Linked DNA regions of Oryzias latipes. The protein of the gene in region 3 interacts with the protein of the main gene of each other region in a pairwise test. Links are inferred from orthologs where the notes say so. Each region holds a gene or a part of one and is shown on either strand. Other genes may lie near its edges.

Region 1 (4,216 bases), on a different chromosome or scaffold from region 3:
AGGTCTGTTTTACAGCACACAGGGCAGCTGGAAGAGACTGTGACACTCTGAGCTTCACGCTCACTACCCTCCAGTATTGAAATGTGAACTTTAACAGAGGGGCATTTTTTTTTACCAAAGTGCGCTCGACAATAAGACAGTGTAAGACAATCTTTTCACAGTAGATGTTGCCTTGAGCTCTATAAAAACCAAAAGATGAACACCTTATGCAATATATTTTATTATATTTAATGTTTCATTGATGTTGTGTATTTTTCTTCTCAAGTAAGGTTTTATTATGAGATATTTTTATACTTTGCAAAGGTTGTCTGGCGCCTCAGGGATGCAATCCTAGTGTTTCTGTGTTTGGCTCTTCCTTAGAAAAAGGGGGAGTTGACTGAAATCACATTGTCAGCATTTATAGACAAGAATAGGAGATATAATGTAAAGCACCTCAAAGAGGTTCCCTTTTTATAGTTTAATCCTATTTTTGATAAAGTAATTCAAAGCGGAGAGGCTTTTCTACCCTTTAAGTCGAGTTTATGATTACAACAGTCTTTTTTGATCAACTATAGGACATTTATTTATTAATTGGAATCTCAAATGTATGTAATCTATTTGTGTTCCCTTTAAAGTACTGTCTCTATGCTGATGTGGAGCTTGTGTCAAAACCAGAATGCTTCTGTCGAGTTTAGCACCTGCTATCTACTCTGGCATAAATGTAAATTAATAGAGAACTGCCTGTTTTTACTATAAAAATGCATTTTCAGGTCATCACTTTTCAAGCAATGTCTAAAAGTGGCCTTTATTTAATATGCAGGACGTTGCTTGTGTTTGTCACTGCCATCTGAAGGAAACAACACTACAAAAACGGTAAAACGGCACCAAAATCATGCTATTTGCTGGAGAGATGTGTACATTCTTTTCCAATTTCAAGCAGATATTTTAACACATTAATATTATTTTCCTTATAGAGATTATTCAAATAACCACCTCACCAGAGATGTCTAAAAGGTTTAGTTTGAATATAATGTGTCAGTGATTTTTACCACATGACCAAAATGGATTATGCGCTTGAAATAAACTTCAAAAGGAAAATGTGTTCCAGTGAAAGAAATGAAAAGAGAGTTTGTGTCTTTAATTTCCAAGGTGTAAATGTGAAAAAACAAAAACTGTCTGGACTTTTTAGCTTCGCTCGCCCCCTGGTGGTGCTATTAGGAACTTGACGTTAGTAGTTTAACAAATTAAATAATTTTTTTTTTTTACCGTATTTCCAGATAAAAAATAAACATTTATGAATATGTAATTTACATATTACACAAAAGAAAGATATACAATCTGTAAAGATGAGATGTATTAATTGCTTTCCAAAAGATGCTTGCAAAGTTACGTTTTTTTTGTCAAACTTTATTTAAAACAAACTGCTGCTACGTCACAAGTGCTAACACTAGACGTCGTTACCATAGATACCGTCAAAGCTTCAGTCGCGCGTCCTTCCCTGTAGTTTAACGCCCCAACAAACTGTTTATTTGCGTCGTTAAAAACGACGATTGTGAACTTTTTCTTTCCTGACTAGAGAGTTACGAAGAAATCCCGACCAGAAATGTCTTCTCCGTGGAATAACTATGGTTTGCCATTCCTGCCCGGATATTCATTCCCGGATTACACAGTAAGAGCCGTCATGGTGGATTTAAAAAGGATATAAATTTCCAAAAAAAAAAATTCTCATTTAAAATAGTTTTTTTTTTTTCTTGAAAAGTATCAATAGATCACTAAAAATGTGATTTGCAGATTTGCTTATGTTGGGAAAGAAGTATCTCTATTTTACTAACCGTCATGTTTTCAATTGTTTTTTTTTTATCCTTCTCAATAAATTATTGGGTTACTTGAATTAATTACTTGAATCAAATTAAACTTAACAAGGAAAAGTATATGTATTTATAAGAAAGGATATGAGGCAAGAATGTCAAGGGTTCAGTACTGTTCAGATTCCATCCTTCAGCATTTCTAAGACCCTTCCTCAAAGTGACAAGGTCAAGCAGCAGACATTGAGGAAAAACAAGAGACTGGCAGAGGGCAAAAACAACTCCCCAAAGACCTGGATGGCCGACTACTTATTCAAATGTCACTCAGCAACAGCAGGGAGGCATCAAGAGAGCTATAAAAATAATGGAAATGGTTGCTGGAGCGAGGAGAATTACTCAAAGGCGGCTATTAGGAGCAGTGTTTGAAGCAGATTGGAAAACTGGTGGAGAAGCCGAGATGCATTAAAGCTTGGATTATCAAAGGTTAAATTCATCCAATGTTTTTGTGAACATTTGTTTAATTATTTTTGTTGTGTTTTTAAAGTTAAATAAGCCTATTTCTTTCTAATTAAGGTATGAAAACTCTGCACATTCTAGTTATTTCTGCCAATTGTTATTTTATGTACACAAATGTTTAAATAGAGGAAAAAAGAAGCTTTTCAATTTAACAGAAATAATGTCAGCAGTTTATAAAACAAAACAATATTTTGTAAGTATAAAAAAATCCCTAGAAACCTAATATTTTCAATAGTTTTCTGTTTTTATTTTTATTCAGAGCTTGCATTTATTTCTCTTCAACTTGTTGTTTCATGATTTGCGGTCGCAGAAATCCGCCTTTCATCGACCCCAGACTCTGGACTACAAGAATGGCTATCCTCTGGCTCAGCGCCTCTCCATGGGGATCGGCCAGGAACTTCATTTGTCCGAACAGCTCAGCACAACAGCCCAGCATCTCAGTGATCTTTCCTTTGGGATGCCAGGAGAAGATCCGTATGGCGCTTCTGACCGGAAAGTCTATGAGCCTTTTAAGCCAGTTTATGTGGCTCTGGACAAGAAGGTGTGAACTCAAATTGATAAAAGCATTAATTATTTCCAAATAATTCCCCACATGGTCTATCACCGGCCTGCTTTTTTTTAAGGTGCTGTGCTTCAAGGCATTCTTTAAAGAGGAATTCTTGAATTCCTCTGAAGAATACCGTGTGTGTCCAGTGGTCATCTATTATCACCTGGAGGACGACACTATGACCATTGTGGAGCCCAAAGAGGAAAACTCCGGGTTCGAACACGGAAAGAGGCTCAAACGGCAGAAAATACCAAAGAATGACCACGGAGAGTATTACCTGTGGAAAGACCTCAACATTGGTATGGATCTGAAGGTGTATGGCTTCACATACCACATCACACAGTGTGATGACTTTACAAAGGTACACTACTCTTCTGATTAAGACTTCTTCTCCTTTTGTGTGTCCAGCCATTTTCATTTGTAGATTTCTGTTTCTTTTCCTGCTTGCTTTTCTTCTCTCATTCACACAGGAGTTTATGGAAAGTGAAGGGATCATTTTGAACGAACCAGAGCCAACACCGGAAGATCCTTATATCAAAAAACGCAAAGGCTCACCACAGCCTCACACTCAGCCTTCCACAACTGACAAGCTGCACCAGTTTCTCACCATGGATGGAAAGGTAGAGAATATCCATATTATCTGCTCAGATGTTGCATTGCAATAACAATGACACTTAGAATAACTATAAATAACTTAAAAATGTACTTTTACCCAGTAAGAAAGGAGAAACACTGTTCCATATAATTAGTATTTTTGTTTTCATATTCTTACATTTTCTAGTAGAAAAAAACAGATTTTTAAAAATGTATACTCTCCACATACACTCTCAGTTTAAAGTTAGAAATAAAAACTATTAACCACCAGTCCTGTTCTCGTCTTGTTGTCTATTTTAGGTGCTCAGTTTCTCTGCTCTGGGGGAGGATGTGAACCGTCAGTACACTTTGCCGGTTACCATCCACTATTTCCTCGTTGACGATACTGTGGAGATCAGAGAGGTGGTCTACAAAGGCAGAAGACAGAACCATTTCCCTGTTGTGATGCGCAGAGTGAAAATACCCAAAAAAATGAAATCAGGTAAAGACGTTTTTCCACCATTATATTTCAATCGCCTCACAGAAATGCTCAAACTGATTATAAATGGAACCCGTCACTTGGACAGGACTTCTGTAGTTGTGTTCTTGTTGCAGAAACGTTCCCCACCTGTGTGATGGAGATCTCTCACCTAGATGTAGATGAGTACTACTCCCCCAAAGACTTTCAGCTAGGCCAAACGGTTACACTACTCGCCCGTTCCTTCTTGCTGTGCGACTGTGACGACTTCACCAAAAAGTATTACAAGGAGAACCACCCAGACATGGAAATGAAACC
Region 2 (4,223 bases), on a different chromosome or scaffold from region 3:
AGAAAAACTCCAGAGATCCATTCAGGAGGTTGGTCTTTTGATTTGTTTTTATTTAAAGTTAATTTCTGCATCTTTATTGCTGCTATTAATTATTGGTAGTTTTACACAATTTTTAAAACCGATCTACAACTTAGAAGAAAGCATATATGTATTTATACATCATGTAACGGTTATTTTACACAAGCTGCTTGTGTTTTGGATTTTTATAGCCGTCAGAAGATGGCAGCACTGAATAATCCCTTTCTTTCGTTTCTGTTTGAATGGCAGGTCTCTCGCATCTCTGTGATGCAAAGCTAGCTGTGCCAATGGGATGCAGCTCCAGTGAGATCAGATCGCCTCCCTGTGCCTCTTGGCCAGCGATGAAACAACCCAGTCCCGTCACCCAGCCTCGCCACAAAAGCCATGACGTCAGTGTTGGTGCATATATGTATTATGAGTGACTGAGAAGGGAGTCGGAAACACTGCTGACACTCTGCATTTCTGCGCAACAAGGCACTTGTCAGCGATTCTGAAAAGTTTGTTGGTGGGATGGGCTGCTAATGAAGTATGACGGGACCGGCTGGTGTAAACAAACAGCCACTACTGAAGAAGGCCGCCTCTGCTCTTTCTCATTCACTCAGTGCAGCGCCTGCCGGCACAAAACAAAGAGTCCTCTCATGAAGGTCCTCACAGAAACCCAGAGGGCAAGGGGTGAGGGGATGGTCTGGAACAGGAGAGCCAACCGAGCCACACCACGCCATAGCATGCCATACTATCCATAAGCTTTCTGTGCATCCTTCGCCTCGTGTGCTTTTAAAACTCAGACTTCTGTTATAGTCCCATAGCAGAAACCAACACCAATGTCAAGCTGACCCAAAGACACATAGTCTCCAGCTCCTATCCTGTTTCCCAGACTAGGTCCACAGCTCCGCTTGGAGCTGAACAGAGCCAGCGTTTGAAGATGCCGAGAGAACGAGTGACAAGCGAAGGGATGAAAAGGGGAGTGCGGCACATCAGAGAGAGGCAGATCATCTGATGAAGCCGCCAGTTCTCTCTATTGAGGCTGAGCATGTGCAGTGATGTGTGCCTTATGGTAGCCATGTCTGAGTTTCTGCTCAGTCACTGGGGCTGAAAGTGATCAACTGATCAAAATGGTACTATGTTATGTTTGTTTTTTTGTTGTCCGTTTTGTATTTATGATGCATGTTATTAGGTACGGTGCAATAAATAAATGTTAAAACACAAGTTGGATCATTTTACCCTCATGGGGCTTGGGTTAATTCTATCACATACATTTGAATAGAGACCCTGTGAATGTTTGAAGAGAGGTGCCACTGTCACCCTTGACCCCTTCAGCTCATCACCGCGACCAACATACCGCATGCGCGCCCACGTGCTTCTATTGCGCGTCGCCGTTCCTGCGATTTCCAGGAGGCTGTGATCGGATTCCTGACGAGTCTCAGCCAGGACAGAATGAACAACAAATTCGATGCGTGAGTAGCAGCTCTTTTGCGTTAGAACTTCGATCGAAAACGGTTCACTGTCTGGAAACGGGGAATCAAGAATCATGCGTTACGCATTCAACGAAAGGTGTGTCCATTTTATCAGCACGATGCAGTGATAGATCTGTTATTAACCCGCATATCAGCGAAAGTCATACCGGTGTGTACTTTAACTGCATATGGAACAGCAGCATTACATTTATGGGCGTTTATGTTGAGTAGTGTAGCCAGGCTGCTAGCAATAGCTTAGCAAAACGGAAGACGGGTAGGCCTCGAATCCCCGGTGTAGTGGTAGGGCAGAGGCCCGGAGAGGGTGTGTGCAGTCACGGTGTAAACTGTGAACGGGAAGACGGATCAAACGGTGATTTAAAGCAAATGTAGTGTTAGCATATTTACGCTGGTGTATTTGTGTGCATAAATTGATGCCGTTTTTCTGTTAAAATATCCAACATTAAATACAAAGTGAAGAACATTCCAGTTAATCGGCTAGTTTAGCCAACAGCAACCCGGTAATGACTGCATGCTTAAACGAATGGACTTTTTGTTTTTCCTGTTTTTATCCTTTAAGCAGCTTTTATTTTTCATGATGGACTCGAGTTTGGTTTATATCATCATTGTTAGTCATTTAAACACATTGCACCTTTTTAGATTTTCCAGCGAATTAGGGAAGTGAAGATCATTGGATGGATCGTTTTTGAATTTAACTAACTTTTCGTTTCCAGTCTGAAAGACGATGACAGTGGAGATCACGACCAGGACCAAAGCTCACCGAAAGATAGCGAAACGATAAAGATTGAGGACGACGAAAAGGAGCAGAACACAACTAAGAAAAAAGTGAGTTAGGAGATTTCAGTGTTTGCATGATAGAGCGGCCTGAATTCCTGAAGGCACCTACTAGAGCTTCCTCGTTTCTTTTGCAGATGGTGGTTCCAGGAGCAGGAGAGCATCCTCTTCAGTACAACTACACTTTCTGGTACTCCAGGCGCACGCCAGGGCGACCAGCAAGCACCCAGAGCTACGAACAGAACATTAAACAGATCGGCAGCTTTGCCTCGGTTTGTCATCTCTGTGACGCTCTTCACATCTGAGCCAAATGATGCCATTGCTCACTGGCTGTGCTGCAGCAAACTATCACAACCATGAACGCTCTGATCTTTTTCAGGTGGAACAGTTCTGGCGTTTCTATAGTCACATGATCCGGCCTGGCGACCTAACCGGTCACAGTGACTTCCACCTGTTTAAAGAAGGAATTAAGCCCATGTGGGAGGTGTGTACACTTGCTACACGTTTTAATGACCTTTTTAAGGAATGTGTTTGGATACTTTAGTGATGTTTTTGCTTTGAAACTCTGATTAGGATGATGCCAATAAAATGGGCGGGAAGTGGATTATTCGCTTAAGAAAAGGCCTTGCGTCCCGGTGCTGGGAGAACCTGATCCTGGCCATGCTGGGGGAGCAGTTCATGGTGGGAGAGGAAATATGTGGAGCTGTGGTGTCCGTCCGTTTTCAGGTAAAAACTCACACCAGCGAGGCCTAATGCTCTACAACAGCATTTGTACAACAGTGACAGTAAATAAGTGTTTACAGGGCGTAGTTATCTTCTTTTTGTGTTGTTGTTGTTTTTGTTCCACAAAGACAATAATTACTGTAATTGAGTTTTAAATGCTTTTAGTGAAAATGCCTTACCTGCAGTGTTTACATTCTTTTGACTACTGTAACGCAATTAACGTAAATCAGCTGATTCTGTGACGGAGAAAAGCAGCTTTCCGCCATTTTGGAACCCTTTACGTTAGTAACAGCTCCAGTGCCAAAGGGTTAACTATCCAGGCCTCAGATGTGCCATTTTTATTTCTTTCTTTCAGGAGGACATCATTTCCATTTGGAATAAAACCGCCAGTGACCAGGGTACCACCGCCCGCATTAGAGACACCCTGCGCCGAGTCCTCAACCTGCCCCCCAACACAATCATGGAGTACAAGACACACACAGACAGCATTAAGTATGTATGTCTCCTCAGTTTACTATTTTCTCTCCATCTTTTGCTTTAAAAAAAAAAGTCATATTTTGTGATTTGATAAACCTTTTTCACCAGGAACCTGTTGAGAGTGAAATTGTGCACATCAGTTATAGTTTTAATGCTTAGAATAAATTTCTTTAAATCGTGGTGTGATGTCTTGCTGTCATAGAACCATCCTCCTCCCTTAACCCCTCTACACTGAATGTATTTCCAGCTTTTAAAAAAAATCCTAATTTTTTGCCTTCAAATAGATGCTAAATTTAGGTAATTTTGGAGCCAAAGTGGTTTGATGCATCGTTCTCTCAATAGGCATCAAGGGGAATTAGGGCTGCACTATTTAAGGAAAACTCGCAATATTAGTGATCAATATTCTGATTATAATGTAACTAGCGATACATGAACAAATAGCAAAACAACCAATAACACAATATCCTTTTCATTGCAAAAGTTTAATTTAAATAAGAGTCAACATACCTGAAATTAAACTCCAAATGACCCTCGTCTACTTAGGAGGTGAGCCTCTAACATGAAAGGGGTCCATCCGGTTGGTCAACAACGTGAAGGGTTCAATCCGATTGGTCAAATGCATAAAATGATCTATTTGATTGGTTAAATACTTCAAGCTGCCATAAGATTGTTTTAGCACATTTAAGGTAACCATTTTTCGCTATTTTTGCCGTCTTTTGCGATATGATTATTGCACAGCTTGATACTGCGGTAACGTGG
Region 3 (3,500 bases):
ACATCAGTGTTTTTTGGCAAATGTCCACTTTCTGCCTTGGCAGAAAAATCACAAGGAAACTGAAAATGTAAGAAAACTGGTCTGTGTTCATGATGTACCAATCCCTCTGGATAATAGTTTAATAGTTTTAACATGGCTCTAACAAATGTTTTTGTTTAATTTTAGTGAAAAAAATTAGCCTTAATTCTGTTCCTTTTTTTATTGCTAATATTGAAACTTTGCTTAATTGTTTCAATAGTGCTTGAAGTTTGAGCTAGAATTTGTCCTTCAATACAGACATTGATCTTTCTAACGGAAGCAGCTGATTTCCACAGACTTGAACTCTGGAATCTCTGGCTGTTAATAACACAAACCTCAAAAGAGAACATAATAGTGTTTGTTTGTGTGCATTGGGCCTTATGATGGTTAGCAGTAGGAGATGTTGTCGCATTAACCCAATGAGTCACTGGTGATGTGGTCCGAGAACGGCAGCGCTGATGCAGGACAGACTCCTGTCTAAGCATTGTTAGAGTTTTACATGATCTGACAGCAGATCCTGTGGGAAGCTACGCCGCCAAACACGACCTTCTGTTGGAACTGATGGACTTTATGAGCCATGTCAGCACAAGGAAGATGTTCACCGCGTGTCTTTGGTTGGATTGACATGTATGATTAAGACTCCAACAATAATTGGCTGAGACATTTTAAGGGGTTGAACTTTTTCCAAAATGAGAGCAGTTGGCAGTCATTCCCAGCTACTGTGTCAGTCCTACTCCTGTTTGGCTGAACGCGGCTCATCTCCTCCTAAGTGTTAGTTACACCAATGATGCAAAATGGACGACAGCACACTTGACCATCTGTCACAGCTCACGGGGTTAAAAAAAGCACTGGTTTAAGCTGCACTGGTGGTGCAGTGGTCAGCGCTCTTGTCTCACAGCAAGAATGTTCCTGGTTCAAGTCCCGGCTGGGGGATCTGAACCAGAACATCAAAGGAGGGCGTTTCTGTGTGGAGTTGGCATGTTCTCCCCGTGCATGCGTGGGTTTTCTCCAGGGACTCCAGCTTCAAAGGTTCATTGGTTACTCTAAATTGTCCCTAGGTGTGCATGTGTGTGTGCATGTGTGTGTGATTGAAGACCTGTCCAGGGTGTCCCCTGCCTTCACCCACAAGTGGCCAGGATAGACTCCAGCAGCCCCGTGAACCCGAAAGGGACAAAACGGAAGAAGATGAATGAATGATGGTCAAGATGCCAAACGGTCTTCCTAGAAACCTGCATGACCCTTTATTGTGTGTGTGTGTGTGTTGTCCAAACAGGGGTCTAAAGCTTTATTGTCGTTTGTATCGTCCAGATTAGAGCACTGTCTATGCCTATGAATCAAGTGGACCTGGAAGCCCTGACCTTCCACCAGGACCTCGCTCTTCATGCTCACCAACCCTTCCAGCAAGCTTACAACAAGCAGCCCCAGGACAGGGCTTTTCGGAATAGGTTTGATTTTGCTCTTTCTATCTAAACTAGTACTGGACAATGGTTAACGTGTGAAAGTGTGATTAATGGCAGGAGTTTTCATGATGAGTTGTTTGTGCCTGCAAAGGTTTATGCATTGAAACGGATTCTTTTGAGGAATTTTAATTTCAAACTAAGAGCTGCATATCCAGAAGAAAATGCAGGGTTGAACAGTGTATTGCTGAATGAAAATGAAACTTAAAGGGTAATAATTGGCAAAAAACTTTTTTTTTAAATGCCAGAGCCGGGTATCGAACCAGCGAGCTTCTGCACCAAGGATTCCCCATTTATTTCAATAGAGGCAGAAATCCTGGAATATCTGGAAAAGTTCAAGGATTTGAAGGACCAAAAGTCACAGCTGGAAAAATCTGAACGAGCTGAACATTTGAAAGGTTGAAATAAATGAAAAATTGTAGAAGTTAAGCAGCAAAAAATGGAGGAAGATACTAGAATAAAGAAAAACAGGAAAACAGTGATTGAATGATTTATAGTATTCAACCAATAATTGGCCAAAAAGAAAGTGATCAAAGTGGACCATAAATAAAGTGAATTTTCTTTAAAATAAAACGGTTGCAATGAAATAGAAATGATGTAATCGTTTTTCTATTTGTTCGTGTATCTTAAGTCACATGGTCATCGCAGTATTGATCACTAATAATTTACATCACAGGTTTTGCTCATATCCTGCAGTCCTGGTGTATTTTATTACTCCATTGTTGGCAGCTTGCGTGCCTCAATCATTTATTTATTGTCAGTGTTTTAACATTGATCCAATTCCCTGAAATGTGGCACAAATGTACAAACCTGAAAGTGGAGCACATGACTTGTTTGGTTTTTGGGTTTGGCTGACTTTGGTTGTTTGTGATGGGCAGACCACAGCGTGTGAACCATTCCCCTGGACCTCAGCCTCCTGCTGGAAGAAACTCTCCTGGAAATGCCGTCACTAGCATGGTGAGGATGAACCTTGCTGTTGGGGTCAATGTGGTGTCCTGTTTATTAAATGCCTTGCTCTGTTGCTCTTTGGCAGTTGTCTCCATCATTTACACCCACTTCTGTAATTCGCAAAATGTATGCAACCAAGGAGAAAACCAGAGATGACGCATCCCTTCCTTCTGATGCAAAGGAGACAACTGCACCCTCACAAGATGGTCAGTTCTATTAAAGTCTCATATTTCGCACGTTTTTTTCTGATTAATTGATCAAACCTAATAAAAATTATGTTTTCCAGGCAGCAGAAGCTCTCCTAATCCTTTCCTGGAAACGTTGGATGAAAGCGTTGCATCATCAGCAGGGATGAAGGCCGCCTCACAGCCTCTGCAAAACAAAGGCCAAGAGTGTCTCAGGCCTAGTCCAAGTGGCCACCATACAGTAAACATGGTTCCCCCAGGGCCCCCTTCATCTTTCCCTCGTCCGGTCTACCCAGTGCCACTGCTGTCCCATGTCCCCATGGTACGGCCGCCTCCTCAGCTCCACCCCAATGTGGTCCAGCGAATGCTGGAACAGGGGATCCAGCCCCAGCAGCTGGGACCTGCACTTCTGCAAGCAGGTTTGTATGTGTGCGGTTTGTAAGGCACTATTACCGTTGTTGTACATCTAGTTTTTGCCTGATTTGATCACTAGATTTTTTGCAATATCTTAGCCCAACTTCAAGGCTTGCCACCTGCACTTCTTGGACAGCCACTGTACCCTGTGAGCGCCGCAGGGCATCCGCTTCTACCTCCCAGAGCCAACACTCAAATGCAGCTGGCAGTAATGCCCCCACAGCTTCAATCCCAGAGACCAAGTGAGTTCAGTGCCACAGTTCCAGTTCAAACGTATTCAGAGGTTTTCTGAAACCGTTTTTCTCCCGCTTTGTCTTTTCAGTACATCCAAGCATCCCAGTGTCACATGGCCACAGGCCTCAATGGACAAACGGCGTTCAGCGACACCGGGGCAGCTCCCCTCTTGGTCTTGCTAAATGGTTCGGCTCGGACGTCCTCGACCAACCGCTGCCTTCCATGCCGGCCAAAGTCATCAGTG

What was found.
Region 1: the proteins of eif4enif1 (region 3) and efhc1 interact in binary tests that used the Homo sapiens proteins (3 or more experiments, as listed by UniProt). The two-hybrid records come from large-scale screens. The link is inferred for Oryzias latipes from reciprocal best matches to the Homo sapiens genes EIF4ENIF1 and EFHC1.
Region 2: the proteins of eif4enif1 (region 3) and eif4e2 interact in binary tests that used the Homo sapiens proteins (3 or more experiments, as listed by UniProt). The two-hybrid records come from large-scale screens. The link is inferred for Oryzias latipes from reciprocal best matches to the Homo sapiens genes EIF4ENIF1 and EIF4E2.

What each region holds. Positions count from the first base shown.
Region 1 is NC_019882.2:6,991,350-6,995,565, reverse strand, and holds the start of efhc1 (EF-hand domain-containing protein 1), read left to right. Parts: upstream 1-1,416; 5' UTR 1,417-1,582; coding exon 1,583-1,648; intron 1,649-1,997; exon of another isoform or gene 1,998-2,267; intron 2,268-2,589; coding exon 2,590-2,841; intron 2,842-2,923; coding exon 2,924-3,208; intron 3,209-3,317; coding exon 3,318-3,467; intron 3,468-3,741; coding exon 3,742-3,922; intron 3,923-4,035; coding exon 4,036-4,216. UniProt on the Homo sapiens protein: Microtubule inner protein (MIP) part of the dynein-decorated doublet microtubules (DMTs) in cilia axoneme, which is required for motile cilia beating.
Region 2 is NC_019875.2:23,172,750-23,176,972, forward strand, and holds the start of eif4e2 (eukaryotic translation initiation factor 4E type 2), read left to right. Parts: upstream 1-1,423; 5' UTR 1,424-1,452; coding exon of another isoform or gene 1,453-1,472; 5' UTR 1,473-1,546; coding exon 1,547-1,569; intron 1,570-1,726; exon of another isoform or gene 1,727-1,842; intron 1,843-2,203; coding exon 2,204-2,315; intron 2,316-2,401; coding exon 2,402-2,536; intron 2,537-2,643; coding exon 2,644-2,748; intron 2,749-2,837; coding exon 2,838-2,990; intron 2,991-3,342; coding exon 3,343-3,479; coding exon of another isoform or gene 3,480-3,483; intron 3,484-4,223. Other genes in the region: capn10 (calpain-10), read left to right, coding at 1-28, 268-297. UniProt on the Homo sapiens protein: Recognizes and binds the 7-methylguanosine-containing mRNA cap during an early step in the initiation. Acts as a repressor of translation initiation.
Region 3 is NC_019863.2:605,618-609,117, reverse strand, and holds part of eif4enif1 (eukaryotic translation initiation factor 4E transporter), read left to right. Parts: intron 1-1,326; coding exon 1,327-1,463; intron 1,464-2,353; coding exon 2,354-2,432; intron 2,433-2,508; coding exon 2,509-2,629; intron 2,630-2,709; coding exon 2,710-3,027; intron 3,028-3,120; coding exon 3,121-3,264; intron 3,265-3,344; coding exon 3,345-3,500. UniProt on the Homo sapiens protein: EIF4E-binding protein that regulates translation and stability of mRNAs in processing bodies (P-bodies). Plays a key role in P-bodies to coordinate the storage of translationally inactive mRNAs in the cytoplasm and prevent their degradation.